2 linked regions of the Danio rerio genome follow. The protein of the gene in region 1 interacts with the protein of each later gene in a pairwise test. Links are inferred from orthologs where the notes say so. Each region holds a gene or a part of one and is shown on either strand. Other genes may lie near its edges. The genes, in order: atp10b and tmem30aa.

Evidence for each region.
Region 2: the proteins of atp10b (region 1) and tmem30aa interact in a protein complementation assay, tested with the Homo sapiens proteins (2 studies listed by IntAct, with this or other methods). The link is inferred for Danio rerio from reciprocal best matches to the Homo sapiens genes ATP10B and TMEM30A.

The regions. Positions count from the first base shown.
Region 1 is NC_133189.1:26,617,475-26,634,009, reverse strand, and holds part of atp10b (phospholipid-transporting ATPase VB), read right to left. Parts: intron 16,265-16,535; coding exon 16,012-16,264; intron 15,000-16,011; coding exon 14,782-14,999; intron 11,651-14,781; coding exon 11,501-11,650; intron 6,549-11,500; coding exon 6,017-6,548; intron 4,363-6,016; coding exon 4,268-4,362; intron 4,184-4,267; coding exon 4,057-4,183; intron 2,622-4,056; coding exon 2,437-2,621; intron 1-2,436. UniProt on the Homo sapiens protein: Catalytic component of a P4-ATPase flippase complex, which catalyzes the hydrolysis of ATP coupled to the transport of glucosylceramide (GlcCer) from the outer to the inner leaflet of lysosome membranes.
Region 2 is NC_133192.1:56,061,648-56,078,265, reverse strand, and holds the start of tmem30aa (transmembrane protein 30Aa), read left to right. Parts: upstream 1-8,304; 5' UTR 8,305-8,490; coding exon 8,491-8,739; intron 8,740-11,092; coding exon 11,093-11,212; intron 11,213-12,872; coding exon 12,873-12,980; intron 12,981-13,440; coding exon 13,441-13,528; exon of another isoform or gene 13,529-13,831; intron 13,832-14,023; exon of another isoform or gene 14,024-15,661; coding exon 15,662-15,808; intron 15,809-16,051; coding exon 16,052-16,264; intron 16,265-16,618. Other genes in the region: filip1a (filamin A interacting protein 1a), read left to right, coding at 1-1,407, 3,660-3,863. UniProt on the Homo sapiens protein: Accessory component of a P4-ATPase flippase complex which catalyzes the hydrolysis of ATP coupled to the transport of aminophospholipids from the outer to the inner leaflet of various membranes and ensures the maintenance of asymmetric distribution of phospholipids.

The sequences.
Region 1 (16,535 bases):
GTTGAAATGAAAGTAGAACGGTTTCCTGCCCTCCTCAGAAGTGTGAAAATGGGATTACAGAGCAGCAATATGAGCCATTCAAAATGGTGAATGCACTTTTTCTCAGCTCTCTTAAACACAGACTCAGGCAGACTTGAAATGAAAAACAGCATATCTGACAAATTGTTGCAAGCGCATTTATGTGTTTGAACACGCTAAGCAGAACTTCACTCTTGAGGGGATGAACCCTTGCAACACTGAAGCCTCTGTTGTCCCAGATAAACCAATTAACCCTTTTCCTTTTGTGCCGCTTCACTGTTTTAAATCCTAAAAAACACTTGCAACATATGAAAAACACTCAGCTACTCTTAATGACCTGATTATTCCTGTTAAATGACCCGGTTAAATTATGTTAAAGTACCCTTATTATTGTATAATTAAAGGTTACTAATTTTGTTTTTGAGGTCTGCTAAAATAGGTTCAACTTAATTCAAGGTCAAAAAACATGAAATGTAATAATTGTAACATTGCAGCATCAGCTCTTTTTTTTGTTCCAGGGTCTGTTTTTTTAACACATCTTTCCTGAGAGCCTACTGTGCTCTAAATGGTCAGATCTTCCAGTCTGTGATGATTGGACTAGTCTTTATAGCATGTCTTGGAAGCCAAATGCTCATTACCATATCTGAATCATAAGGGGCTGTTTACACGACAACATTTTCAGCAAAAAATAATCTCCTGGAGTATGTGGTAGTGTTGTTGTTGCTCAGGTGTTTGGTAATGCTTTAATTTGGATTCATTCAAATGTAGGTTATTTGGAAAAATTATTGTGTAAACAGTAATTTGGTAATTTTCATTCATTCATTCATTTTCTTTACCACAGTGGAATGAACCGCCAACTTATCCAGCATATGTGTTATGCAACACATGCCCTTCTAGCAGCAACCGATCACTGGGAAACACCCATACACTCTCATTCACACACACACACGGTCAATTTAACTCACCCAACTAACCTAAAGTGCATGTTTTTGGACTGACTGTGGGGGATACTGGAGCACCCAGAGGAAATTTGTTGTGAACATGGGAGAACATGCAAACTCCACACAGAAATGCCAACTGACCTTTATTATTGAATTGCTTTAACAGCATTATTACTACTTTATTATAGCATTATTACTGATGGATTACTGCTTTATTATAGCTTTATTAGTTTTTGCTGAATAATTATTGCTTTATTACTGCCTTATTACTGCATAATTGCAGCTTTATTATTGAATTAGTATTGCTTTATTATTGCTTTGCTACTGCTGTGTTACTGTATATTTATTGCTTTATTACAGCTTTATTTCCACATTATTGTTTAGTACTGCATCATTACAGCTTTATTACTGCTCTGTTACAGACTTGCTACTATATTATTACCGCTTTATAACTGCTTTACTACTGCATTATTACTACAGCTTTAGTAAAGCTTTATACGCTCTATCACCTCATTAGTATTGCTTTATTATAGCTTTATTACTGCATTATTACTGATTTATTACAGCGTTATTACACTTTTTAACAGATTTGTTACTACTTTTACTGCATTATTATTGCTTTAATACAGCTTTAGCACAGCTTTATTATTGAATTGCTTTTACAGCATTAATACTACTTTATGATTTTTACTGCTTTTTTAGCTTTATTGTTTTTACTACATAATATCGCTTTATTACTGCCTTATTACTGCAAAATTACTGATTTATTACTAAATTGGTTTTGCTTTATTACTCCATTGTTACTGCATTTTTACAGCTTTAGTACCACATTTTTGTTCATACTGCATTACTAATGCTTTATTACTGCATTATTTATTATACTTTTAAAAATTTTATTGTAGCATTAATACTGCTTTTTACAGCTTTGTTAGAGCTTTATTACTACATTTCATATGACAGATTAAGGAAGAAAACATACTTTTTTATATAAAGGGTGGGTCAATTACCTTGCCATTGCAAATATACTTAAATTGTGAGAAAAAATATTTTTATTTCTTCTTTGTGAAGTATACGCCACAATCAATTGTTTTGTTCACAACTCTCAATTTATTATTCATGTATTATTAAATTATTAATATTATATAATAATTAAATTAAAATAATATAAATAAAAATAATATTTTATCCAAATATAAAGGATGTTTTAGAGGTTAAATAATAATTATTTTTTTACATTTCTGTGCAAACAACTGCATTTATTTATACTCTTCCATTTTTTTAGACCTGTCACAATCACAAACAGCTACATCTCACCCTATATGAAGGTAACATTCGAAAAGCATTATGGGGCACTTTAATGTCATACGTTAAATAATTCTTCTGATGAAGCTGGTTGACTAACAGAGGCCAAGTCTTTGTTAGGAACAACATTGTAAAAGCATTAGTTAGCTGGCATTGAATCAGCCAGATCAGATACCTTCTTGTTTGTGGTGAAAGTGAACACCAGGTCTTCATGGTCCAGCAGCTTGCAGGAGTAAGCGATGTTGACAGCCGTCTCGGGTTTGTCTCCTGTCAGCACCCAAACCTGCATGCCAGCCCGTCTCAGAGCCTGAATTGTTTCTGGGACGTTTTCTTGGAGCCGATCTTCAATGCCAGTGGCCCCTGTGGGTACACAAGTTAGATCATGTCACCAAACTGTGAAGATGCTTACCATAGAATTGACTTTGAAAGTTACACTAAAATATATCTGTTAATTAACAGTTTACTGTTTTGTGTTGCTTACTTACAGTTGCATTATAGGACCTAGATCTCTGCTCTGATGACTTTTAATGTTAAAAATAAAAAAATTAAAAAAACTCTAACAAAGTGACTTTTATTGACATTTTAGTAGTTTTAAATAATATAATGTATAAGTAATAATGTATAAAGAAATAAGTCTGTAATATAAAAGAAACTGTACTGGCAATTTATTACAAGGTTTTTCAGTTATAATTAAGCATAGACCTATCACAATATCTTTTTTTTTTGTTGTTGCATGATATATTGCACCAAAATATGTGATAAATTATATTATCGTAATTTTAAGACCATTTTATGCCACTCATTATATAAGGACAGAATGACAATATAGTAGCATCACAATGCAAGAACACTCTTCATATTTTATTCTTAAGAATATTTCATTTAATCATAGTAATATTAACAATTTAATAACTAGACATTAGAATCAGAACGTGAAAGCGTATATCCTTAACAAATAAATAATAAAAAATATTAACAAAAATGTGCAAGATAAAAAGTAACTGCAATACGTGCTACCTTATCTAATTCCAGTTTTCAGATACAGTACCCACATAAAACAATTGCTATAGTAATGTATAATAAAACCTATAGTGTTTTCAACCATACTGAGAGTGACACATCCAAAAGAGATAGAGAGGTTGTGCAATCAGCGGAAATGTTGCTAGTATTGGTTTGGGCGATATATATTGCATCACCAAAAATGATTGTCCATGTGTTGTGTGATAAGTCGATGTATTGATTATTGTCACAGGCCTAAATATGTAACACCAACCCAGGCAATATATCACTTTAAACTATTACAAATATTAATAAAAGTCACTTTTTAGAACTTTTCAAGGTCAAAAGTTTTAGAAAGAAAGATCTGAAAAATGAAAAATAAAAACATGAATGAAAAATATGGAAAACTGCTAATTTACAGACATTTTTACAGTGTATTTTAGTGATTATGACATTCATAATTTGTGTGTTTTATAAAATATTAATATATGAAGAGATCTGTTAGTGTTTAATATTAAGTTACGATAATTTTTTTCTGCATGTGTGCATTTTTAGGGAGGTAATCGTTCAGACATACTCAGAATAATTAAAACATTTGCGGAAACCTATTACCTGAAAACACTTAACTAAATTTTTTTTTAAAGTTAGGCTTAAGATAGAATTTATTTTTTAATTTTGTACTGAACAAATAAATTAACCTGAACAAGTTGCTTGCAAAAATATCTAGATTAAATATTAACTCAAAGTGTAAAGGATAAGTGCATTGTAATATCAATGAAGGGAGCAGAGATTATACCCAATAGAGTGAGGTTGTTCTCAATGTCATTTGCGGTCTCCATGAGGCGTTCTTCTTTCTCATCGATGGCTGACAAAGCCTCTTGTCTGCTAGTAAACCAGGCCTTGAACTCCTGTTCACTGATAACCTTTAGAGAATAATCCAGCAAGACTATTAAGCAGTTTTCAAATATAGTTGGTTTTAATGTATAATTTTCCAACCAAAACTTTACCTTTTTGGCAAAGCACAGTGTTCGTAATCCATCCCTGGCGTACATGTCAAGGTCTTTTTGAGTTCTCACAGCAATTCGCTTCGCTGCACTTTCAACTGGTGACATATTTGTGGAAAACAAATGACACTCGCAACATAGGCTCGTTCTGAAAACATAGCCCAATATACATTTCTGGAGATCAAAAATTATGTAGCCAGCGCTATGTATGGCTGCATTTTGTTTTAAAACAAAAGCTATGGTGCAGTATGAAGCCGTTCCTTTTCTTGCTTTTCAGCTGACCAGCTGACCTTGACGGCTTTCCTGCTTAAACCCGTTTGTACAGTTAGCTCTTCATGTATATCGGCAGACTTGAGACGCATTGAGGAGTTGACCACAACGACGAGGTTTGAGTCCGGTAAAGAACGGTTCCAGAAAGCAGGTAAGACAAAAACAGAAGCCAAAAAAATAAAATAAACAAGTAAATAACAGGGTGAGAATGTGGTAAAATCTAAAAAACATGGTAAAAATTAGGCGAGGACCTGTTTTTTTTTTGGATTGCTTTTTACAACTTTTGGTTGGATTTACGGAAGTGAGTGGGTGGGTCAATCAGTGCTTTTGAAAACACTATTGGTTGGGTTTACGGAAGGGGAGGGATGGGTCAGCTGATCGGTCATTCAGTCAGACCTTCAGTCAGTCGTCAGTCGACAGCAGCCTCTGGCAGGAATGGCACTCGCCAAAGAAATTTAACATCTCAAAAAGCACACACAGCAGCCTCTGATGGATTCGCAAAAAAACTGCAAAAAAAAATTAGCTCCTGGAATGTATTTGGTGCTCTCCAGAAATGTATATAGCAACACACTGCATCACTTTCAGATCTGCCATGTTGAGTATATTAGCCAAGTAAATGTACAATTATTTACAAATAGTTTTTATAATTTAGCTATTTACATTTAAAATTTACAAAATTGAATATTATTAAAAAAAAACTTCACTTTAAATATTGTAGGGGAGTTATTGTGCAGGTATTTGTATTCTTTAAAAAGTGTGGTAAAATGAATGCAATGTGCCAATATAAAATAAATGTGTGATGTAGTAAAAAAACACTATCATGGTTTTTGACAAAATATTAAGCAGCAAATAATCATATTAAAATGATTTTCTGAAGAATAATGTGACACAGAAAACTGAAGTAATGATGCTGAAAATTCTGCTTTGAAAACAGGAAAAATACACTTTAAAATATATTCGGATAAAACAAACCTGTGTTTTTTGTAATATTATTTCACAACATGACAGGTTTACGGTATTCATGATCAATAAAGGCATCATTACACTCAAAATGTGTACATTTTAGTAGTAGTATTTTGTAAGTAATCATAAAAGGGATAGTTCACCCAAAAATGAAAAATATCTCGTCATTTTCTTCTGTTAAAATATTTTGAAATATTTTGGTTGCTGGGACCCATTGACTTCATTCAATTTTTTTCCCTTCTATGAAAGTCAGTAGATCTCAGCAACCAGATTTCTCCAAAATATAACCGAAGAAACTCAAATATGTTTTGAATAAGAGAGCGTTTGTATCCCTTTAAGATATAAAAAGTGTACCATTAAGCTACCAATGTGGACCTGTTAGGTGCAAAAGTGTAACTTTTGAAAACTGCTCCACTGACAGGTTGTGTGCCTTTATTTCTCAGAATGTAGAGACCTCAAACTATTAAATCATGTATGTTGCCTTAATGTATTTGATCTGACTGAATATTTCATGCTCACCTGAGAAAACATTCCCCAGTTTCTCCATAACAGCTGAATCAGCCCCTTTAGTGTACATGATGATTTCATTGGTGTGCGGATGACGTACTATAATGGACATCCTCCGCCGCGTCGAGTCGAAGGTCAAGACGTCCAGCACCTCAAACTTCAGCAACGTTTCATTGGGCAGCTTGACAGTCACATAACGAGGAGTGCGTTCGACCATGGTGAACCCATAAGCCTTTGCTGCGTGTATCAGAGCGGCCTCATCTGGACTGTGGGCCTCATAACACACCTCTTCTGACCTCGACAGACTGCGTTTATCCTTGCCTTCACTTGAAATGACCTTCTGGCCCGGCCTGGAGTCTGAGACACTGGAGATGTGAAATGTGTCTGGCTCGTCTTCATCTATAGCAAAGGGATCTGCCATTGTCTCTCTGTTTCTCTTAAACCTCATAGAGGAGAAAAACTTTTGCAGAGAGCTTATTTTGAACCACTGTCCCATGTTGTGACTCGAACTTCCTGAGTATGAGGAGTTACGACGGCCTTTGACCTGGAAAAGAAAACATTTACTTGTTTTAAAGATGATGTATATAATACTTAGTGCAGTATTACTGCTTTATTACAGCCCTATAACTGCATTAGTATTACTTTATTACTGCTTATTTACAACTTTATTACTGATTTATTACTGCTTAATTACAGCATTATTACTGCAGTAATAATGCTTTATTACAGCTTTGTTACTGCTCTTACGTATGTTACTACACTATTATAGCTTTATTACTGCAGTATCATTGCTTCATTACTATATTATTACTACTTTATACTAGCTTTATTACTGCATTATTACAGCGTTATTATTGCTCTATTACAGTTGTGTTACTGACACTACAGTTTTATTACTTCATTATTACTGCTTTATTACAGCTTTATTATTGCATTAATATTGTTTTATATCTGCCTTATTACTGCATTAGTAATGCTTAATTACTGCATAATTACAGCTTTATTGATACTCTAATACAGCTTTGTTTCTTCATTAATACAGCTTTATTAGTGCATCATTACTGCTTTATTTTGCATTAGTATTGTTTAATGGTATAGAGCTGCTTTATTATTGGATTATTACTGCTTTGTTACAGCTTTATTTCACATTAGTATTGTTTTCTTGGAATTTGAATGTCTTTGTTGTGCCCAAAGGGCAATTAGGTTTACAGCAATAGCCGACAGTTAGCAGCAATGGGTCACAATCGAACAACATAGAAGTAACAGTAAACAATAAAACTAACCATGACCACGAAAAAAAAAAGTAAAAAAAGTAATCCAACTGCAGTTGGAACAAATGAATGCAAATGTTGGACCCTGCTAAAAACAAGTATACCTTCTGCCTGATGGCAAGAGGCAAAACTTTGAATAAAGTGGATGGTTCTCATCTGCAAAAATGAACATGGGTCTCTTTATGACTTTCACCTTATAGACGTTCAGTACTGTTAAGATTTGTGCCCACAATCTTTTGAGATAGATGATCAATTTTTAAAAGTCTGTTTTTACTTGTCACCCTCAAATTAGCATACCAGCATATTACTGCAAAAAGATGATGCTTTATTACTACAGCAATATTACTGCATTATTACACTTTTTTGCATTAGTATTGTTTTATTACTGCATAAGTATTACTTTTTAGTGCATTACTGCTTTATTACAGCTTTAATACTTCTCTATTATAGTGTTATTACTGCTTTATTTAAAGTTTTATTATGCATTAGTCTTACTTTATTATTGCACTATTACAGCTTTGTTCCTCCTTTATTACAGCTTTATCACTGTGTCATTACTTAATTTCACATTAGTATTGTTTTATTACTACATTAGTATTGCTTTATTGGTGCATTATTACTACATTGTTACTGGTTTATTTCACATTAGATTGTTTACTGCATTTGTATTGCTTATTAGTGGATTATTACTGTTTTATTATAGCATTTATACGTTTTTTTACAGTGTTATTACTGCTTTACTACTGCTCTCTTACAGTGTTATTACTGCTTTATTGCAATGTTATTACTACTCTATTACAGTGTTATTACTGCTTTATTGCTGCTTTATTACGCTTTAGTATTGCTTTATTACTGCATTTATTACAGCTTTATTACTGCTCTATTACAGTTATTACTGCTTTATTACAGAGTTATTACAGCTTTATTGCTGCTTTATTACTGCATTATTACAACTTTATTACTGCTCTATTACAGAGTTGCTACTGTTTTATTACAGTGTTATTACTGCTTTATTACAGGGTTTTTACCACTTTATTAGTGTTATTGCTGCTTTATTACACATTAGTATTGCTTTATTACTGCATTACAGCATTAGTACTCCATTTATTGCTGTGTTATTACTGCTTAAAACAGTGTTATTACTGCTTTACACTTTATTACTGCTTTATTATTTATTAGTATTGCTTTGTTACTACATGCATTACAGCTTTACTGCTCTGTTACAGCTTATTACCGTTTTATTGGTGTTATAACTGCTTTAATATGCATTAGTATAGCTTTATTACAGAATTTTTACAGCTTTATTACTGCTCTATTACAGCATTAGTACTGCTTTATTAGTGTCAATACTGCTTTATTACTGCTTTATTGCAGCAGTAGTACTGCTTTATTAGTGCTATTACTGATTTTTATTTTGCTTTATTACAACATTAATACTGCTTTATTACAGTGTTGTTACTGCTTTATGATGCATTAGTATAGCTATATTACTGCATTTCTGCTCTCAATTGTTGTAATATTGATTTTATTTAAACAGTATATTATTGGCAAATGTTTTAATTAAATACATTTTGAAAGGTCATAAAAATTTATACATATTCACAACACTTTGACCCTATGGAATATGATGAAAGTCTATTTCATTATCACTTTTGCAACTGAACAGTCTAAAATAGATGTTGCTCAATCAGGGGAAAAAAACACATGGATCATAACTTAAATAAAGCTGACTTCAAGCAAACGTAAACAGTATGTAGTCTAAAATAGATTTTACAGAATCAGGAAAACACATAGAAAATGGTGCATATGAAATAGCATACAATGTACAACATTGTATTTGAAATTTCATGACCATTAACAAAGTGCATTCAACAGTATACAAGCTCCTTATTTTAGCTCTAGTTTTAGAGTATTGGCTGATTAAGAAAAAAAAAAAACATGTTTTGTCGGCGTTTGTTTCACCTTGCCTAAAACGTTGTCTGTCATCATCAATGGTAGCCAATAATTTCATCCATCTGATGCATCCATTCCTTTTTAATCAACTTTTTTTGAAGGCATGATCTGTGCCATCTGGTGTTAGGCCAGTTTCAGTGTGAGTGATAGAAAGTGTGATGGTATGGTACAGTACAGTATGGTATATGTATGTGTACTTGTTTATGTGACCTATGAGGACACTAAATAGTATAACATTAGTTTGACCTAGTTGTACTATATGAAGATCTTTTACAAGGAAATGCTTAAAAATCATACTCAACATGGTCTTTTGACATTTAAAATTTGCCACATTTTCCTGTGAGGCTTGGGTTTAGGGGTATTTTAAACTTTACAGTTTAAAATAGATTACACCAATGTTGAGTCCTCATAAACTATATATGAGTGTGTGCGTGTGTTTGTGTGTGTGTGTGTGTGTGTGTGTGTTGTGTGCGTGTGTGTAATTAAGCAGAAAAAAATTTAACTAAATAAGTTATACAGTTATAACTTAAAGCCTTATTTGTTTAATCTGATGTAATTGACAAACACCTTATAATGACATAGGAAAAATAATATATTATATATGTCTAATATTTGTTAATAGCCCATTAGTGGAGGGAGAGTCTCATCCTATTTGAAAAGCAAAAAACATCATGATGTAAAATGTTGTCCCTCCAGCCTCCCGTGGCTTCCCCGCTTGATGGAATGCATTTTAGAAAGCAATGAGGAATCCATCGCTAAAAAAACATTGCTGAGAAGATAAATCTAATTTTCTGTAAAACTGTGTGTTCAGTTAATGATTCTAAAACTGAAATATTGCAAATATTAAAACTGAGTCCATGCTGTCGGCCGGCACTCTAATCCGCTAATAATCTAGTTCTTCAGGTGCTGCGGATCCGCATTCATTGTGACTGCCTCTTAAGTTGTGATGGACCCAGGGTGATACAATCATGCTCCATTGGTAATCAACTTAATTAATGTTGACCCAATGTCTTTGAATGTCTCAGTGCTACAGGTCTGAGGCCAAATATAATTTCTACCCTGGACAAAGTGCTTTGCTCGGGGTCCTCAAGTGCAATTTGGGAAATTAGCACTGACCAGCAGTGAAGGATACTCAGCTACACTAAACTTCTCTCTCAGACTCAACTCATTACAGACGTGTGGGGGGACGCAGTCCGCCTGACTGATGAAAAATCTAATTGCCTGGACCAAGTAAGCCATTGGCGCTTGCTCGAGAATTAAAATGTAGTAATTATAAAACAAACCACCGGGCTGCGAAGCACTAGCCAAAGTTGAATTAGTCATGCAGGGGCAGTAATAAAATATCTCGGGGCAACGGGACTGCGGCCACAGGTACTCACTGTGCAAGAGGCATAATTTACATGGTGGGCTATTATAGTTATTGTTTTGACATGAGGGCAGTTTTTTTTTTGCTGTGAGTCAGAGAGCTAAGCATGTCGCCAAACCCTTTCAGCTCCAGCAAGGTCAGTAGTGTCAAGCGTGCTTACATTCTGACTTTGGGCCATCAGTGTGCAAATATTCTAGACTTCTGACTGATTTATCTCTAAAAAAAATCTTCAGTTCATATTTAGAAAAAAAAATAAAATTCTGATTTGCATTATTTTGAATTTATCTCCAGATTTTGGAGATCATATTCTGCAATTATGACATTTGAATTCAGAATATATGTTGCATTTTCTTTCAGAACAAGATGAATTAACATCTTGCTATTCTGAATTTTATTCACAAATCTAAAAAAAATTTCAGAATTCTAAAAATATGCTCCAAACTCTTTTCTAAGAATTCTGACTTCATATTTAAAAAAAATCGTGAACTAACTTAATAAAATAATAATTTTATAATAAAATTATAAAAAAAATAAGAATTTAATGTGAATCTGTGGGCCGGATGATTAAAAATAATTTTGTATTGAAAGCCCTGGCCATTATCAATAGAGAATGTAGAGAATGGCTTAATGCAGTAAATATATTCACTTTTTTTCTGGCCTTATTTCAGAGACTGATACATTCATACATGCTGTTTACATATTGAGTCATCAAGCATTAGCCATTAATATATCTTTTAGAAAAGCCAGAGGGTAAACATCTGGCAATTCATATTTTTTTCCTGCAGTATTCTGCACTTACTATACATCTACCCTTTTTTTCTCTGAATTCTGAGTCTGCATCTCACAATTCTGATTTGTCTGGATTTTAAATGTACATCTCAACCCTTTCAGCTCCAAACAGCTCACCCTCTGTCTCTGGGCGGTCAATGTGGAAACCACCACTGTGTTGCAGATGGCCAACGCCAGAAAAAAGTCCAGGTAGGGCCCGGTCTGAATGCTCGCCATCTGATGGTCCACTTCCAGCATTAGCTTCCTGTCTGGAACCACCACTGTTTCCTGTTTGAGGAAATAAAAGCGGTTAGGCGCGTGCCTGATTACATCATGCACAACAAGACCATGTGGTATCTTTCCATAGGTGGAAAATTACACGTATCGTATGACAACAAAAGGCACATCGTCACATGAAGAGGCAGCGGGACACGAGACAATCTGTACAGTATCAGTAGCCCATGTTTAATGCACCCCAGCGGCCCCATATGTCAACCGATCGAAACATAGCGGATCAGAGCCAGCATTGCTGTGCTCATAACTGACACCAAACTGCTCGGCCATCTGCAGGGCAGACCGTGAGCATGCAGGAGAATAGAGGAAAGAAGATGGGTCAACGATAAGATGTCGGGGATTATTTACTTCAGCTTCATCGTTTAAATCCACGAGGAAAAACATGGTGTCATTTCTAATAAATGACTTTTTTAATTGATTGAGTACAGACTGCAGTAAAATTCAGTTGTCGCTTCATGTTTTAGTGATTAATCCTGTTCTGTATGCACAACAGAGTTTGGTCACTTACAGGCATGATAAGCGCATTTGCTAGCCTATTTCTGCATTTTCCAGATTATATGCAGTGTGTTAGCATCCAAAGGAAAAAATAGTTTAATAAAATGAGACGCATCAGAGTTCTGTTTTCAACAATGAATAAAAATGTTAAGAAGGTAACTCCATTTAAATAAGGTAACTGCATTTTTATCACAGTTGCCAGTTGATAGCTCACAGTTCAGAGTTTCTTTAGAGTTGTCAATTTATATTTCACCAGTTTTACTTTTTTTTTGCAATCTCACATAATTATTTAAAATTGTATTGTAATTTAAACTCACAATTCAGATTTTTTTAAATTAGAAATTAGAAAAATGAGTTTTGAAATGTATCCTTTTGTTGTCAAGAATTATGAATTAGCATCCGGCTCTATTGACTTCATATCAATTTTAAGGTTATTGCACAATAAATCCTAAATTTTCGTCCATAATTTTCACACGTTAAAAAATAAATTTGACCTCAGGTTGTGTGAATCGCACTGACACACTGCCTCCAAAATTTTCATCCAGCATAAAAAAAATCTAACCGGGTTTGATTTTTTTCCACTTTTCGCATTCGAAAAAGCACTTTGAGAGGTGTTTTGACAGTTGAGTCACCGTACAAGCAAAAATCTAATTAGGCTACAGAATGCCGTCATTTGAGCTACAGATAACTTTATCATAAAATAAAGACAGAATGTGGTGAACAGCTAGAGAACCCTTACATGCTGGATTCAGTGACTGGCAAACCTCTACCCTGCTGCTGCATGGTGTGTGTGTCCTTACATCTGACGTACAGCCCATAGACATTACAATAGAAATAATGGTACGCCTTCGATATGTCAATGCGGCCGCCATCTACTATAATGTCTGTAGGTACTGCCAGTCTATCTTCAGGATTTGTTTACATATGTAAATGTGGTATCAAAATACAACTGATTTCCTGAAATAAACTTCCGGATAATCCAGCAGAGCTCTTTAATAATGAGTTAAACTCTCCTTCCAATTTATTGGATAAACACAATATGCAGCCTAGTTCTTAATTGGATTGATTAATGCGCATCGGCCTCAGTGTGCAAGGTTTGTATAAGTGATGAATTTTTCGCATTTGAATACGAAAAAAATGCACCCAAAAATTTCAGACTTCAGTGTGCAAAGATTTATTATTATTATATATTTTTTTAAGTTTTAATTTTTCTCTTGTATGTGTTGCCAGATTTTGTTAGAAAAACATCAAACATTAATGCTCCATTCACACGGGGCGTCAGTGTCAACACTTCCCAGTTGTTGCCAAATTGCATTGTGGATCCGTCAGTGCTACTTAAGTGGTGTTGCTCACTGCAGAAGTTGGGAAATTCTCAACTTTTCAATCGCCAACAGAAGTGTCAGTCAATTAGATCGCTTCATGCAAATACACCAGCTCAGACAGTAGCCAATTGCGGACTAATTTCAGTGGCTGACGCTGCTATGACAATCACGTCAGCCTTAACTTCAGACACATCCTCGGTCAAACGTTGACGTTGGAGCCCTGTGTGAATGCATAATAAGAATTCTCATAATAAACCAACATACATCTAAAAGAGGGTTTCTGCAGGTTTCATCAAGTCAAATTTAAGATATTTTAAGACTTTTTAGACCATGACGAATGAAATTTTAGACTTATTTAGGGCTAAATGCTAAGGATTTTGTTATGGCTCAGCAAAAAAAAAAAAAAAGTACTTGCTCCATCATAAAAAAACCCAATTAGCTATTTCTAAGCCACATATTTTAAATAATGCGTCAAAACAAGCAGAGCCTAGTTCTTTACATAAATATTTTGCAACATAACTTTAAAAAAAACTCTTTAAAAACTAAATGTATGGACAACAGACTGTTATAATATTAGTCATAAATATAGCTATTGTGTTTTATTAACGGGGATTGGATGTTTGTTAAATCGATTGGGTTGCTTTACATAAACAAGGGAAAATTAAGACCCGTTTAAAAGTTTTTAAGTCCTACAAGACAATATTTCAGTGAATTTAAGCCCCTGCAGATACCCAGTAAAATATGTAAATAAAAAATAAGAACAAAAGTATCCCAACACACACCTCCACACTTTAAAAACACTATGAACATAATTTCTTTAAAAGCTAAGACAAACAACATATCTAAAACTGCTTATAATAAGTGCCCATGGTAACACTTCTATAGCATATTTTGTGAAACAGCCTGCCAAACATAAATCAAACACGATGCTCTTTCGACAGTTGTTTAGTTGAAATGCTGAATGTAACAGTGAATGGTCACTTTAATATTACTCTGTTATCTGCTATTGACCAAAGTACGTGAGATTCCAGAATGTTGCTATTGCCAGCACACTGTCAATCATCACAGTTTCAGAACAGAGTCTGTTGTATACAGATATGGAGAAAACACATTACAGTGTGCACATGGCCAAAGAAACTGGCAAATAAAACAAGCCTCTTGTTTATCTACTAAATTGCCGTTGTGTCAAAAAAAACTGCCAATTTTAATAAAGCACGAAAGAGACGTTTCTTTCAAAACAAATCATCTAGAATTGCCAATCTTCACCCTGAAACGCAGATATAATAGTCTTCTGATCTAGGATCTCACCAGAGGACTGCTGAAGGCCATGTCACTTTGGGCTCCCGCTGCCACTTTTGATCTGCGTCGACTGGCAGCTGCGACTTGAGTGTTGGCGTGATTTTTGTGCCCCGTGTGGTCGTCCTGTAATTCTTCCAGAGGGAAGAGTGGAGGAAGCTTTGTCTTCTGGTAGATGGTGACCTCCTCCTCTTCATTTCCTCCACCATTGATGACCGCCAAGCGAGCAGCTGTGCAATGTCAAAAATAAAGCTTGTTAATTTATTAATTATAACCATTAAAAGTAATGGATAAAGTAGCTGACTAAAATCCATTTTGACACCAAACATGGCTCAAAAATCCATACAAACTTAGAAAAAATGTTCTTTCACATTGCTGAAAACAAATGAATTAATCAAATACAGTATGGTTTTATATTGTAATAATTTCACATTTGGTCTTCAAATAATGCATATTTTAAATGATTTACTAATACTTTTACTTCTAATGATCTCTCAGAAAATAGATTTTTTGTAATATTTAACCACTAAGCCTACACTTTAAAACAATCCTTAATTGGGATGTCGAAAAAAAAGTAAATTAACAGCCTTTAAATTACAGGAATTTAAAGTAGAATAATAAATGTTAAATTACAGAACTTTCCTTAAATTTAAATTTCTGGTAAATTTCTGTATTTTAATGTCTGTTATTTTATCGTAAATTTCTGTAATCTGATGGCCGTAATCTACGTAATCTGACGGCCCCAGCTGCCGAAAAAAATCCTAAAATTATGGATATTTTTACAGTGTATGAAGTATAACTTAGAGAGCTCAAAATGAAATGTTATATATTTTCAAAAACAACAACTTATACAAACAATCTTAAAGATATTTATATCAGTTATATGTAGTTGTTTAATAGCCTTTTTTGTTTAATGACTTAACTGTTGACAGCATTGATACAGCATGCTCAAAAATTAGGTGCATTTTAATATGATATAGCAGTTTAATCTCAAAGAATACTGTAGAGAGCTCGCTTTTTTCTAAAGCCTCCAATTTGATGTGGTCATGAAGACATTGTGAATACAAAAAACGCAACTTTTCTTAAGAGAAAATAAGATTTTCTTCTCCTCTTTGTTAACTGAGTTAAACATTGGAATACTCTTAAACTGAAAATGAATCACATGCGTTAACACACTAATTTTGGACAACACTTTTAAAAATATATAAAGTATAAAATATAAAAATTGTTTGGATCACGCACCGTTCTCTTCATGACAGTATTCGGTCCCCATGATGGTGCAGCGCTTGAATACCATCTTGTTTTCTGTAAGAGTCCCTGTCTTATCAGAGAAGACATATTGGATCTGTCCTAAGTCTTCTGTGATGTTCAGAGCACGACATTGGACTCGACTGTCCAGCTCCTGATCGTAAAGCTCTGCATCTTGAGTGATGAAGAATATCTGACCCATCTTCACCAGCTCAATGGACACATACAATGACACAGGAATCATCACCTGGACAGAAAGTACTTCCATGATTATGGTTAAGTAGGGGTGTGTGAAATTTTTTAGTTTTATGATATCATAACTGTGGTAATTTTTTAAGAAGTCATTAACTTTACAAAAAAACAAACTGAGTCTCCAAAAGCACTGACACGATTAATGCATTTAGACTGACCCTTTAATTTCAGTTAAAAAAGCCAAAAAATACAAATTTAAGCCCTGCACAACTTTAACGGTGAAAACTGTCCTGCAGCAGTTTCCGCTTTATCTAAGGTGCTTTGAC
Region 2 (16,618 bases), on another chromosome or scaffold:
ACAGTGGAGATTGAGCACTTGAAGAACCGTCTTCAACAGCTTGAAGCAATCGAAGGGGACCTGATTCAACCAGAGTATGACTTGCTAACAACTGACAGGGAAAAGGCACGCTTTCTCTCAAAGCAGGTACAAGAAATAAGAAGTCAGATTGCACTAAATAAGTCAATAGAGCAAGGTGAGATAGGCAGTCAAGAGGTTGAACTGAGACATAAATTGAAATTGGAGGAAGCCAAAACCAGAGACCTTCAAGCAGAAGTGCAAGCCTTGAAGGAGAAGATTCACGAGCTCATGAACAAAGAAGATGAGCTCTCCCAGCTACAGGTGGATTACTCTGTCTTGCAGCAGAGATTCCTAGAGGAGGAGGACAAGAAAAAGAGCATAAGCACTGAAATCCTTAACCTCACCAAAGAACTTGAGGTCTCCAAGCGCTACAGTCGCACTATGAGGCCAAGCGTCAAAGGAAGCCGAATGTTGGATGTTCCTATGACATCGACTGGGGTACAAACCGATTCAGTTGAAAACAGGACTTCTGACAGTGACACTCCTGCTGCATTCATCAAAAAGTCTGTCCAAGAAGAGAACCGGATCATGAGTAGTCTTCAGCAGAGGACATTGAGGAAGCCTGCGCAGAGACCAACAGTGCGTGAGCTCTACCCTCCAACGGTTAGTGACATTACTGTGAAGAAGTCTTGGATTCCTTGGATGAGGAAGAAAGACAGCAGTACTTCTGAAGTATCTTCAGATACAAGTGCACCCTCTGAGGTCAACATGTCCCTTAATCAGGTGATCCCAGATATTCAGAACAAAGAGGAAACATTGCAGATCTGCATTGATCCATCCGAGGACTCGACCAAAGAAGCTTCTGTTAAACCAACCCAAGAATTTCAGACAACCGCCATTCCAACAATTGAACGAATCAAGGAGAATCCAAAGAATCCAGAAAGAGTTCGATCTCCATTGACCTTTGCTGCCATCTCAAGAGCCAAGAGTGCAGAGATCACGAGGTCTCCCTCTACCGACAGACCCTTATCTTCAGTTTCAGTCGCATCCAACAGCAGCTCCCAGGAGTCTGTGGACATGATAACAGGCAGAGCTGTGTTCAAGGAAACTCCTGAGAAACGAATGGTCCCCACACCCATCAAGAAGTCCAATGCTAATGTTGTTACCACAGAAGACAGCAAGATTCACATCCACTTAGGATCACAGTTCAAGAAGATCATTGATCATGGCTCGGTCGTCATGGTCAAATCTATTTCTGGTTCATCCGAGGGTAAGGATGTTCCTACTGGAACTGTGCTACGCTCGCCACACAATGTGACTCCAAGCAAATCAATAACCAGCAAAGTGATGAGCAGCATCGCCATCACACAGGTCACTAAAGCACCAGCCAGACCTACACTTTCAGTGGTAGGTGCAACATTTACATATTATGGATAATCACAAAAAAATTTTCTTTGTAAAATAAAAATATTTTGTTGTCATGTTTACTGTCACGGATTTCATAATATGATTGAAATGGTAAAATCCCTAGTAAGGCTCCATCCCTCTTTACAAGTGTGTTAAATTAAATTAATGAGGTTAAACAAAGAACATAAAGTCACTGTGCTGTCAGCATGATGATGTGGGCTGGACATTTGTGTTTCACAGGTCTCTCTAGTTCTCCTGATTTAAATGAGAATAGAGCACGGGTGTCAAACTCAGTTCCTGGAGGGCAGCAGCTTTGCACAGTTTAGTTCCAACCTGACAATAGACTCAGGTAAGTAGGATCAGGTGTGTGTAATTAGGGTTGGAACTAAACTGTGCAGAGTTGCGGCCCTCCAGAAACTGAGTTTGACACCTGTGGAATAAAGCTACTTTAAAATGTACATCCACACTTGTTGTTTCTTTAAACCAATGAGTGTAAAAAATATGGACGACGCGACAGCCCCTTTTCCCATTAAACGCCTTGAGGGCAAAATGCCTGCTTGACGGGCACAAACTGTCGCAAAAGACTGCTGAAATTGGAGCCTTGACATGCGCAAAAGGACTGTCTGATGGAGCCAGAGGAGGAGCCGCGAAAATGAGCTTCCAACCAAACGCTTTATGTAAAATCAACCACGTCCCCCGAACTTCTCAGCATGCGTTTGCTGTCATATCAACACAAATGGATGTAATAACGTTAACAAATATGAGGGTTTTATATATTCAATCGCGCCAGCTCCGGGCCGCAGCGCATAACATACTCGCGGCGTCGCGGGTTGATTCCGGCTCGCATGCGGCAGCGCCGGCTCGCTCGGCCGCCGCATCTGGCTCGATTGACTCGGGCTGGAATCGGGCAGTGAGTCCAGGCATCCGGAGTATGTCCAGCAGAGGTAGTCAGTCTGAGCTCTGAGGAGTAAGTCTCCGGCAGGCGAGAATCTAGCCTGAACTGGCCCGAGTGTATTTTGCTATCTGGGTGGTTAGGCGTGTATCAGCAAACTTATAAAGCTAGAAAAAAGCCCTGACCTTAAAGAATAAACAGTGTTCCACCAGAATCATGTATGTCAGAAACTGTAGTTTACTGCTGAACTCATTTTGTCATGGTAAAATAACACAGAAATCGAATAATAACACTTCAGTCTCCTGCCGAAGCTCAGATGCGCTGCTTTGAGAAACTGTCAATCACAGCTGTCAATCACGATGACACGCCCAGCATTAAATTAATGCTAAAAACAAATTTTTTACAAAAATGAAGATCTGCAGCTATTTCAGCACTATAACCAGTGCCTTAATCCACCAGAACCATCTTTCGGGACATTTTATTGCAAGTGTAAAACATTTTTTATTTGGGCTCAAGTCTCCTTCATTAACACGGAGGAGGCGGGCTTTATGACTTGTACTGCAGCCAGCCCCCAGGGGGCGATCTAACGGCCGAGACCTTCACTCAAACGCAGGCTTGCGGCACACTTGCTTTAAACCAGTTGAAAGCGAATGATCTGAATCAGGTGTAAGGAAGACATACAAAATGTACAGGCCCAAGGACCAGAATTAAAAACCACTGTTTTAAACTATCTTTAAACTAAAATGTTGCACATCTTGAGCAAGTCTGCTGTGAACGCAACAGTTCCTGTTGTTTAAAACATGTATCGTGATTCTTTTAACATCCCTGCCAATTTGAATCGTCACATCTTTGAAGCAAGTTAGTAACTATTTGATTTTGTGGCTAATTTTGTATTAGTTCGTACAATCTCATTTAGACATTTCACTATGATTTGCTGATCCTCCAATGAGGGGTAGGCTAGGGGATGGAGATTGGGTTAGCTAATAACAAAAATCAGGGTTAGGGGTAAGGCCTGTTGGCATGCCTCCTTTTAAAATTGTATGTTTTTATATAAATAAAATCATATGAATTTGTTACGAAATAGTCTTTTTTTTTCTGACAATTCATAAAAGAACTACATTTCCTCAAGATTGGGCTGGCTAAAAAACAAAAAATAAGGGATAGAGTTAAGAATGGGGTTTGTTGACATGCCTCTTTTTAAAAATTTGTACATTTTTATATGAATAGAATTGTATGAATTCATATGAAATAACACGTTTTCTCTAGGTACGTACATTTCCTTGAAATTGGGCTGGCTAAAAAAACAAAAAGGCCTTGCATCTCATTAAATCATGCTACTTGTTTTTCTGGTTCTCAACAGCAGCCAGTCCTGGATGTCCCATCAGCACGATCAGGGTTCAGTCGTATCCCGATGTCTCGGGGCATGAAAACCGGAAAAGCTGTGCTGGGAGCTTTGGGACTCACCACAGGAGCCAAATCAGAAACAAATGCGGAGGCCATTCACACTGACCTGAAAAAATCAGCTGTTAGTAATGGAGCCTTACAGGCCGGAGGGAAGGGCTGAGACGGAGAGTACCACACAAACAAGATCCACAGATGCATTTTACTCTACTGCCAAAGAAAATTCATGATTGTGAAATTATTATGTGTGGCAGAGATTTAAGGGAGGACTTTTTTTTTTACATAGGAGAGGAAACATGAGTTGGCGGTTCATTCCGCTGTGGCGACCCCAGATTAATAAAGGGACTAAGCCGACAAGAAAATGAATGAGTTTTTCTATAGATGCTTTACAGATTATCATTATACATTGATGTATGTGTTTGTATATATATGTATTTTCCATTTTTTTTCTCTCTCTCTCTTTTTCCCATATATGCTAGTGGGTGTTTGTGTATCTATGCCGAATTTATGATGATAGTAGACTTTGCTTAAATTATTTGAGTGCCATTTGAGATGTTTAAATGAGTCATGTGACCGTAGTACTCAAAGGAGACTCTAGACGCACCTGATCACTGTTGCCCTGATGAAGGCAGACTCCTGCCGAAACGCGTAGGTTTTTGGAGATTTAGCCATGTGAATAAAGGCTTTTTAATTTTTCACTAATTTCGAGTGCCTTGGACTGATTCTTGTTGCTGTTTTGATGAATCCCTTACCCAAAGAGCACCGACCATACATTTGAGCTTACCCCAGAGCGCTTTTTGTTTGTTTTTTCAGGAAAGGAAACATGTTGCCTTGGTCTATAGATAGTTATGACACACCAGAAATTAGCATAACTTGTTTTAGTTAAATAAATGTAATAGGATTTTTCTATTGGTTTTGTATTGCCAAAAATAGGCTCTTTGACTAGTTTAAGATTCATACGTTTTGTGTTTGTGTTTTACACAGTCTTCGTAAATTAATCATGAATTTTATATCTTAAAGGCACAGTTCACCCAAAAATAAAAATTCTGCCATTTGTTCAACACCTGCTTGAGTTTCTTACTTCTGTTGAACATAAAGGAAAATATACTGAAGAAAACAGCCTTTGACTTCTATTTCTTTTCCCAGCTTTCGTTAGAATATTTTATTTTGAGTTCAACAGTAGAAACAAACTCATAAATGTTTAGAACCACTTAAGTCTGAGTAAATGAGGAGGACATTTTTATTTCTGCATTTATAAACTGCATTTGAGGCTATAAAATTAAATTCAATTAAAAAACCCAACTGACTTCAAGAAAAAATGTTATGTTGTTTATGGGTTTTAGCCTACAAAAAATACATCATCCCTGTCACATGTGTAATAATTAATATAGTCATGATCTATTAACGCTGCCTTACACAAATCAGGATTTCAAGAGTTCACACTTAGCTGATGATTAATTATACAAGCTTGTTTGGCATGCTGTCCCGGGAGAGAGCCCTGAGCTCAGGAGATCCTCGAGCCCAGGGCTCCCTCCCGTTGCAAGGCGGGAGGGGAGTTTGAGCTCAGGTAGATCTCGAGAACTCCTCTGCTGTAGTAACCAATGAACAGTAAGTGATTGCTCTTGAAGATAACTCCGTACTAGAAGCATATCTATAGTGCCAATTTAGAGTATTCAATTAACTTAATTGCATGTTTTTAGGCGGTGGGAGGAAACCGGGGAACCCGGGGAAAACCCCCGTGAGCACGGGGAGAAGTGCAAACTCCACACAGAAATGTCTGCTGGTTTGGTAAAGCCTGGAACCAGAGACATTCTTGCTGTGAGGCGACAGTGCTACGCACTGGGCCGCCGTATCACCCGTCTAAGAAGGAGGAGTAGGGGAGGAAGGGGGGACTCTTCAAAACAAAGATAGCATTGGAATGAAACCCAGGGTATTTATAGTAGTTTAGGAGTCATCTGATTGGAGTGTAGTGAATTGGATAATGCAGATCCAGCTGCTAGCAATCATAAGCACGTGATCCTCTCGAAATTTGTTTATACATAAACTTCACTTATTAACAATAAACACCAAGTTGACAAGTTAGTAGGTTAAAGGATTAGATCACCCAAAAATGAAAAAAATATTATTTATTACTCTTACTGTATGAATATATGCCATAATATTTCTTTATACCGTAATACAAGTTTTATCAGGGTTTTTTAGACTCGTTGGAAGTTTCTCAAATAGTGTTTTTGATGCCACAGCTCATGTAATTGCAGAATAATCACATTTGTAGAGTTTAGGTGTGTACACAATCAACATTGATGAGGAAAGATGTCAACACAGAGCTCATCATGGGTGAGGTGAGCTCAACAGATGAGCGCTCTGATCTCTTCTGCTGTTATTATGTTTTGAAAAAATAAATTGTTTTTGGTAAAAGACTGTATATCATGTTTATTTTAGAAATGATACCTACTAAATGATGTATTTTAATACTTTTGTTTATGATTATATTTAACGAAGGAATGTACATGATTTCAGACCAAAGGTTTTCTGTTTGTGATACTTCTGTTGTGATTCTCTCCGATAAGTACAGTCTGTTTTTATTGTTGTTTCTAAGTAAAATGATTGAGAGGGTGCTCGCTGCAGAGCCATTTAAGGAGAGCTGAGCTCCAGCGAGGGGGAGCATGAGCTGTCGCTCCTCCTCCTGTAAGCTGTTTTAATGCGTACACCAACCCCACCCCTAACCCTACCCCCAGTGACATCACTCGTAGAAGAAGTGCAAAAAAGGTGGAGCTCAAGCTTAAGCTCCCCCTCGCTGGAGCTCAGCTCTCCTCAAATGGCTCTGCAGCGAGCACCACTTGAAATGATTTGCTTTTATGTGTCAAAAATATGTTTTTTTTGTCAATTTATTATGCAATTCAAATGATGTGTATACATACATTAAATTATTATTTCTTTTAACAGTATAAGTAGGGCAAGGGGTAGCGCTATCATCTCACAGCAAGAAGGTTGCCTGTTTAAGCCTCGACTGGGTCATCATGGGTCCATATGTGTGAATGAGAACGTATGGGTGTTTCTCAGTGATGGGTTGCACCTGGAAGGGCATCCGCTGCATAAAACATATGCTGGATAAGTTGGCGGTTCATTCCACTGTGGCAACCCGTGAGTAATTAAGCCAAAGACTAAGCCCAAAAGAAATTAATGAATTTATAATATATATATATATATATATATATATGTAATATTATATATATATATATATATATATATATATATATATATATATATATATATATATATATATATATATATATACAGTATATATATATATATATATATATATATATATATATATATATATATATATATATATATATATGTATATGTGTGTATGTGAGCAATATCACACGAGTAGCAGTGCGATATGGTTGTATATCAGCACTGGTGGGAGGTGTGCCTCAATGTCCCACCAGTAACGATATACAGCCATATCGCACTGCTACAAGTGTGATATTGTGTCCAACAGTTCAACGACATAACGACGTGTATATATAAAAAAAAAATCAAACGCAGAGAGTCTCAAAAGTGTGATATGTGATATAAAGTGAGTCTCAGAATGTGCATTAAATAACATTTTTCCACGCAGACATCCCAAGTCTCCCGGAAGTTCCAGGAGTCTCCCGCAAATGCACAGAGACTCCCGGATGCCTGCAAGCGAGTTATAATCTCTTGAAAATCGCGGGTCTCCCTCCCGGTCCTCAAATACGTTGCGCACCCTTCTTACTGCATCCCTCCTTGCTCTTCAGACACATCCTGTTAAACACCACCAACACCCGATCTTCAGATATTTTTACGTAGCATAACTCCCGCAAACTCCGACAAATCATCAGTCTTGCCCGGGAATGACTATTCTCAACTTTGGATGTCTGTCCATGCCATGTCTTAAAAATATGAACATTTTTTTTTACGCCAGATTATTCAAAGGAGCTTTTGTACTAGCCTGCTGATCCTGACAGCTTGTGCTGGTAAACGGTCTTTCATCTCATTTTATGCTTGACCGATTAAATGTCTGTTTAATTTAATAAGTCTGTTTAACTGACTATATTTTAAAAACATTAAAACATCGATGCTGTAAAAGAAAAAAAACATATAAAATTGTACAAGCCACATTAACTGTTCACCAGACGTTTAATAATATGGGAAGAAACGCTCGCTGCTGTGCATATACCCCATTGTTCACCTAAAGAATAACAATGTGCGCTAGCAAAATGAGCATTGTAAATTTTGATTTCACCTGGACTTTAAATAAAAATTACATTTTGTATTTTCTCCAGCAAGATACAAAGGATGAACTACCTATTTAGTTATTGAATGCATATTAAACACGTTTAAATTAAAATACTGCTCATCTCTGCATCACTGATTTTCTATTTCAGAAACAAACAGGAACATGCAAACAACAGCAATAATAATAATAAAGACACAAATGCATACCAAACATATTAAAATACCGGTAAAAGAGCATAGCATACTGTATTAAGAGATTATCAGGGGAATAAAAACAGTTGTTTTTATTCCTTAGTCGTCATGTGATGCCGTCACAGCGTCGCTGCAAGTCTATTGGCTGCAGCACTTCCTTGTTTATCGCCTTGTCCACATCCTACTAAGCGCTACGGAAATAATCTCCATCGTTTAATGGCGCGGTCATTGTACCATCAAAACCATCGATAGCGGCGATATAACACACGCTGTACCCAACCAAGGACATACATTTGAAGTTGTGCTCGTCTTTGAAGGATTAAAGCGCGATGATGGCGTCCAGCTATAACGCGAAGGAGGAGGACGGTCATCATCCGGGATTGGTGGGCTCCGGCGGCCCGGGCGCCGTCAAGAGCAAGAAGCCGGACAACACGGCCTTTAAACAGCAGCGTTTGCCCGCCTGGCAGCCCATCCTGACAGCAGGCACCGTCCTGCCTGCCTTCTTCATGATCGGACTCATCTTCATCCCCATCGGCATCGGACTCTTCGTCACCTCCAATAACATCAAAGAGTTTGAAGTGCGCAACTTCACCATAGTACCGTCAGGGCTGTGCAGTATGACAATATAAAATGTCTATCTATTCATATTCTATCGTTAAAATAGTTAGTTCACAGCAAAATTGACAAGCAAAAATCATTATTTACTCACCCGTTGCTTGTTTTTAACCTTTGTGAGTTTCCTTCAAATGTCGAACACAAAAGAAGATAGCTCGAAGAAAGCTAAAAACCTGTAACCATTATTAAGGATAGAAGTAAAGTTTCGGATTTTCAGACATTCCCCTTAATAATATCATTTCAGAAAAGTATTCATTGCAAATTTTAAATAGGGAAATCATATTAGCAGCAAATGACTTTCAAAGTACAACATTGTTCACAGTCAAATAAACAGTGTTAATGTTGTTTTCAAGTCACACTTGCATGCTAATTCAGATCGGATATTTAAAGTAACATAGTAAACAATATATAGACTGCTAAATGAACGAATGTGTGAATATAAAACCAACTTTACCTCTATTTATTAAGGTAAGGTCTTATATTCGCACATTCGTTCAGTGACAACTTGTGACTCGCTCCCTATATTGTTTACTATCATATTTTGTATACATTAAGGGAAATTTGGTTTTATATTTACGCATTGGGACTTATTATAATTTCAGAAAGAATTCTTTGCTCTAAATAAATAAATAGTGAAATCATGTTAGCAGCCAGTGACTATCAAAAGTACATCATTGTTAACAGTCAAATAAATAGTGCTAATATTGTCTTGATGCCGTACATGCATGCAATTTCAGATCAAATATTCAAAATACCATGGTAAAAAAAAATTAGAGAATATTACACAAGTCACTGAACGAGTGTGTGAATATACAACCAACTTTACCTTAATTTTTTTATATTTGATTTAAAATCACACGTAAGTATGAGTTTCAAATAACATTAGCACTATTTGTTTGACTGAACAATGATAGAAGTAAAGTTGGTTTTATATTCACACATTCTCATTAATAATAAAGTCTCAGAAAAGTATTAATTGGAAATTGTAAATAGCAAAATCATATTAGCAGCCAGCAACCATCAAAGTACAGCATTGTTCACAGTTGATTAAATAGTGCTAATGTTGTTTTGAAGTCATGTGATTTCAGTCCGGATATTCAAAGTACCATGGTAAACAATGTATGGAGCTGTCAATGAATGAATGTGTGAATATAAAACCAACTTTACCTTTATTGAACAATGTTGCAGTTTGATAGTCACTAGCTGCTACTGTGATTTTACTATATAGAATAAGCAAATATTTCTTTTTGAAATTATATTGTTAGGGAGAAAGTATGAATGTGTGATTATAAAACCAGCGTTACCTCAATGTAACCATTGTCTTCCATAGTAGGGAAAGTGATAATGTGTATGTCAATGGTTACAGGTTTTCTTTTGATTTGTGCTCAACAGAAGAAAGAAACTCAAAGTTTTAAACGTATATAGGGTGAGTAAATGATGACAAGAATTAGCATTTTTGGGTGAACTATACCCTTAATATTGTATTGTTACAAAATTTATTGTTTAATACTTTTCATAATTTTATATAAGCGTAATATTATACGCCATTATGAGGATAAAGACAGAAACATATTTACATTTTATTTAGCAATATTTTATGCTCAGCCTATAAATCATTAGTTTATGAATTTTTTTTCTAAATTTCATTAATATTTAATTATAATTAGAAACAAATACACTGAAGTTTTAATCTGATCACATATTAATGAGTAGATTTTTGAGTAAATACTTAGGAATTTACAGAAAATTATATATATATATATATATATATATATATATATATATATATATATATATATATATATATATATATATATATATATATAGGCAAGACAGTGGCGCAGTAGGTAGTGCTGTCGCCTCACAGCAAGAGTCGCTGGGTCGCTGGTTCGACAGTTGGCGTTTCTGTGTGGAGTTTGCATGTTCTCCCTGCCTTCGCGTGGGTTTCTTCCGGGTGCTCCATTTTCCCCCACAGTCCAAAGACATGTGTTACAGGTGAATTTGGTAGGCTAAATTGTCTGTAGTGTATGAGTGTGTGTGTGGATGTTTCCCAGGGATGGGTTGCGGCTGGAAGGGCATTCGCTGCGTAAAAACTTGCTGGATAAGTTTTCGGTTCATTCTGCTGTGGCAACCCTGGATTAATAAAGGGACTAAGCCGACAAGAAAATGAATGAATGAATTATATATATATATATATATATATATATATATATATATATATGTCATATTGCACAGCCCTACAACATAAAATAGTAGCATCGTGAATAGTAGTTTGATGTTATTGTGTAACTTGTGCTGTTGTTGTTTGTGTTGTAGATCGACTACACTGGTGTCGACATGTCCAGTCCGTGTTACAACTGTGCACAGAACTACAGCTGGAACAGCACTAGTGTGTGCACTTGCACTGTTCCCTTCACACTAGACCAGCCTTTCGAGGTAAACACACTTTACACTGCTAGACCTACATCATATTTGTGTGTTTCTGTGTTTTATTTTCTAGATCTGAAGTTTTTTTTGCTGCGATGTTGCGGAAATAGAAACTGTTTCTAAATTAGAAATTTCGCAGTCGCAGATGGTTAAAATAGAAACTCCTTTTAACTTGAAAGAGACATATTTTATTGCGTGTTAGGACACTGTGTTACACTTCAGAAAATGTTTTTCTTTTTAAAAATCAAAGATCTAAAATTTAAATAAAATATAATAATCTAGAAAGCATTTTCTAGACAAGTAAAAAATTATTTTTTTTTGTTTTTAAAGAAATAAGTCAAAATAAAGTTAGTTTTTCCTTAAAACAAGCTAAATAATCTGCCAATGCGTTAAGTTAAATAATCATGTTTTTTTGGTATGAAATAAGTTTATCTTACTTAATTTATATATATATATACATATATATATATATATATATATATATATATATATATATATATATATATATATATATATATATATATATATATATATATATATATATGGTTAAAAAAAGATCACTTTAGCAGGTTTAATCAAAAAGATACTTAATGCATTGCTTAATTATCTATACATTATCTATAAATCGAACAAATGTTTTAAACAAATTAATTAGCAAAAGAATAACTGCAGGATTACAATAGAATTTTATTAGTTATTAACTCCATTTAATAAAACGGTTACAACTTTTAAACCAGTGTACTATAGATTTTACTGCAGTAAACTGGTCTATTGTTGTTTATTACACCCTATGAAGTTGTAAAAATTGTACTACAATATTCATTTGTTTCTGTTATTAGTTGTTGTATTACCAGCAACTTACTACAACAAATGAATTCAACTACTTTACTATAGTATGATTCAAAAACACTATGTATTTTACCACAGAAATTGTTTTAATGTGAGTGACCTTTTATAAAGAAAACTGAGTAGCTAAATTATGAACTATATTCAGTTGTTGTCTACAAATTACATAAAAAAAAACAGATAACACATTTATGGAAATGTAATCTGACTACATTTGGATTACATTTAGATTACTTTTGTGCTTGCAGTTTGTTGAAAAATATGTTCATTTTGTCAGCAGCAAAAGCCTTAACAGATGAATACTTCACAATACTAACAATAATATACCTCTCTGTTTGTTTATGATTATAGTAACACAGGATAATACGAAGTCACATTTTCTGAGTTTGAAAGATTTACTTATATTAAAGCACATTTAGAAATCAACATCATTGTCACTGCTACATCAGTTATTTCATTAACAAAAACCTATAAATGCATATGAAGGTATCAATGAAAAGCATAGCAAGCGTGAACTAATTTAGAGATATATTTAACTCTAGCTCCATTATGTTGTATATTTGCTTTGTCTGCTAACCGTTGGATGGTCAAACAAATCACCTAAAGTGCCATTAGCTCTCATGTATTATGCATTAGTATATTTAGAGGACGTTTTATTGATCGCACCTTTTAATATGTTAAAAATAGAATTGTTTTCCGCTCTTGTTATAACAGAGATCAGTTCAGATGATCTATAAACAACACTGAAGTAGCCTCAGTATAAAAGATTTTATGGCTGGTGACTGGATGTTATTTTAACCTCTAACTTCTTTTTTTTTTGTAGAGTAATGTTTTCATGTATTACGGACTCTCCAACTTCTATCAAAACCACAGACGTTATGTCAAATCCAGAGATGACAGTCAGCTGAATGGAGACAAAAGCTCTTTACTGGTGAGTGTTTCGACATATGCTGACTAAATGTTTGACTTTGACTTTAGTATATTATATTTAATTTTGTTTTGTGTAAACTTATAGTTTAATATTGGTGCATTTTGTGAGATCTGATGGTATGGAAATGCTTGAGGCCCAAAAGAGAAGTGGTAACAACAGCCAGTAAGTTGTTGGGAACAAAACTAAAGAGTATACTGGTAGTGTATACAAAGAAAGAGCATTACAAAAGGCTATCATGATTGTCAATGAAAGCCTTATTATATATATATTATATATATATATTTGGTGACGCGACTGACGTGACATGCTTTTCCGCTCAGAGTTTACTTTTGTTTAATTGTCGTTTGCATATTGCAAATATGTGTAATTAGTGTAAACATGGCCCTAGCAAGCATACTTACTGAATTGTTGAATCGAGTTTGTACGTTGTCTTCAAGTGTTTAAATCTTTTGTTTTACAGAATCCGAGTAAAGAGTGTGAACCGTATCGAACAAGTGACAGGAAGCCCATTGCTCCTTGCGGCGCCATTGCTAACAGTCTCTTCAACGGTAAGACTGAAGGCTCATAATACTAATAACCCAGAGGAGTAGCGGACTGGCCCGCAGGGCACGCTCCGTGGGGGGGCCCCGCGTGATTAGGGGGCCCCACGTTGTCGCGAAAATCCGGCAACCTCAATAATCAAACTCTTGAAAACAACTGTGGTCGGAACCAATGTTCACAGGTCTGTGTTCTCTGAACTCCTCTCAACCGGTGGACTACTTCATTATGATTGCCGCCGAACCGAGTCAAGCTCGGTCATAGCTCATACCATAAAGTTGACTTGATTTCAACTCTCCTCGACACTCACACAGGTGAAGACGCGCCGCGATGTTTTTCACCGCCGTTTCTCATTGAAAATGAATCACTTCTGGCTACTTTGACGCTCTCGCCGTTTTCGGTTTGTGATCGCTCCTCAGTTTGTGAAGGCTTCCCTGTGTTGTCGCCCCCCCCCCTTTCCCGCTCTTTAGTTTGTGATCGCTTCTCAGTTTGTGATCGCTCCTCAGTTTGTGAAGGCTTCCCCGCGTTGTCGCTCCACCCCGCCTTCCTTCCCTGCTCCTCAATTTGTGATTACTTCCCCGCGTTGCCCCCCAACCAACACCTCTCCAACTGGGGGCCCCGTCAGTGATCCCTGCAGGGGGGCCTCCCCATTTTGCGCTACGCCACTGTAATAACCTTAATGATACTTAGTGCCTAATATGGCTTTGAATATTACAAAGGCATGTTGCTGTTTTAAATGCTTGATAATAATTTTCTTTCAATAGTTTAATTGTTCATTTAGACTATTTAAATAATATTTCCTCTGTGCTAAACCAATATTGTTATTTTAATAGTTGTTTATTCTTTGTGTGAATTAGATATGCACCAAAACCATTTTTTAAGATACTTTTTTTCTTTTACTCGCTGGTACTGATGCCTTTTTTGGGACGTGGCAGTTTTCGAAGTAATGACATTGTAAAACAAATTTTTTTTCTTTGTAATTACGAAAATCTGTAACTCCTTAACACAAGTTTTTTTTTATTTTTATTAATTATCATCCCACTTTATATTAAGTGTACTTAACTATTATGTACTTGCATCAAAAAACTAAATACAATGTACTTACTGGGTTTATAATGTATTTTGAGAACACTTGTGGTGCTTTTCAGTTGGGATAGAGGTTGGGTTATGGGCAGGTTTGGTGGTGTGGGTAGGTTTAAGGGTGGGTTAAGGTGTAAAGGATTGTCAACAGTGTATTAACAAATGTAATTACAAAAGTTAATTACAGATGTAATTACATACATGTATTTGATCAAACATGTACACAGTAAATACATGCATTTACACAATAAGTACATTGTAACAAACTATTAAATCCTGTGTAAGTACATATTAGTTAAGGCCACTATTAAAAAGAGACCTTAATTTTTATTAATTATTAATTAATTCATTCATTTTCCTTTCGGCTTAGTCCCTTTATTAATCAAGGGTCACCTTAATGAGGTGGACTCGGCTCAATTGAAACAAACCCTGGGTCAGATTGATTGTAGTGAGAAAGCAATACGACTCAATAAGCCAACGAACCAGGCTATATCACAGTGTATTATGCATATGTAAAAGCCATATATATGGCTACATGAAGGGAGAATTATGAGTAGGGTGGGATGTCATTCCTACCAATAACATGGTGTCATGTCGAATACGAAAGTGAAAGCATGCTGAAATATTACCGAGTGCTGTTTATTCGTTTGGAAAATTTACAGAATTAAAGAACCATCTGACATTTTTCCCATATTTTAGTCTCATAATATTTTGTATTAGGCCGATTGTTTTGTTCATTTCCAACATTTCTTACAGTGAAGGCTAACAATTGCACCTTCAACCGGCGGCAGTTACTTTTGCACTTATGTGTACTTTTGCATGCTGTTTAAATGAAGAATTAGCACAAGTTTATTGAGAATTTGAAGGTCGGTCATGCTGCTCATTGTAAAAGTATATAAATAAACCATTTAATGTCTGTCAGAAGCTCGGATCAGTAGACCCTATAAACAAAGCTAATGCTAACATGCTCTAGCGGCTTTCTATGAGCCTCAAAATAAATATTCACTGCTTACTCAGGCCTTAAGTCTGTTTGTTTGCTCTGTGTGATTCCTTTATGTTTGTAGATACACTGGAGCTGTTTTATATCCATCCAAACGGAAGCAAAATCGGCATTCATCTGGTGAAGACAGGCATTGCGTGGTGGACTGACAAACACGTCAAGTTCAGAAACCCAGGAGGAAGCAACAACAACCTCTCCGTTGTTTTCCAAGGTACAACTCAGAAGTCTACTCGATCATTCGGATGTGTTTAGCAGGGCCTTTCAGCTCATGTTTCACATTTCTTTTTGATTAGATTTTTTTCAGATTTCAAGTAAAGATGTTTTATTTTTATGATTTATTTAAAATTTTAGTAGGTTTTCTATTTATTTTTTTTATATGAATACTTTCCGGATGCACTGTACATCAACACATCTCTCTTTTTTTACCCTGAGTCTGTAATGTTTGTCCTCACAGACACCAGCAAACCTGTAAACTGGCGTAAGGCTGTCTACGAGCTGGACCCGGCTGATCCCGAGAACAACGGTTTCGTCAACGAGGACTTGATCGTGTGGATGAGAACCGCTGCTCTTCCCACGTTCAGGAAACTGTACCGCATCATTCAGAAGAAGAAGGACACCATGACCCCAACACTACCGCCGGGAAACTACAGCCTGGAGGTCGCCTACAGTATCCTTCACCAAACCCACACAAAGCCTTGTTCACACCAAGAATGAGCTATTAATGCCTTGTTTACACTGACTGGTACAGTACGGTACGGTTCGGGTCGGTACGGGTCACCTTTATCAGGCTTGCGTTTCCACTATAAAGGGTACCCTTTTGGTGGGTGTAGTGTAAGACAGAAAGTTTCAGTCGCATCATTCTCGCTCGAGGAAATGTCTACAGTAAAGCTGCACAGGTTCACGTTCACATATCATATTAAAAGCACTTCTCACAAAACAGATGCTTTACACACATAAATACTTGTGTATAAATGTTTATTACTAACTTTTCTATGAACAGGATTTGATTATAACTGCAGAT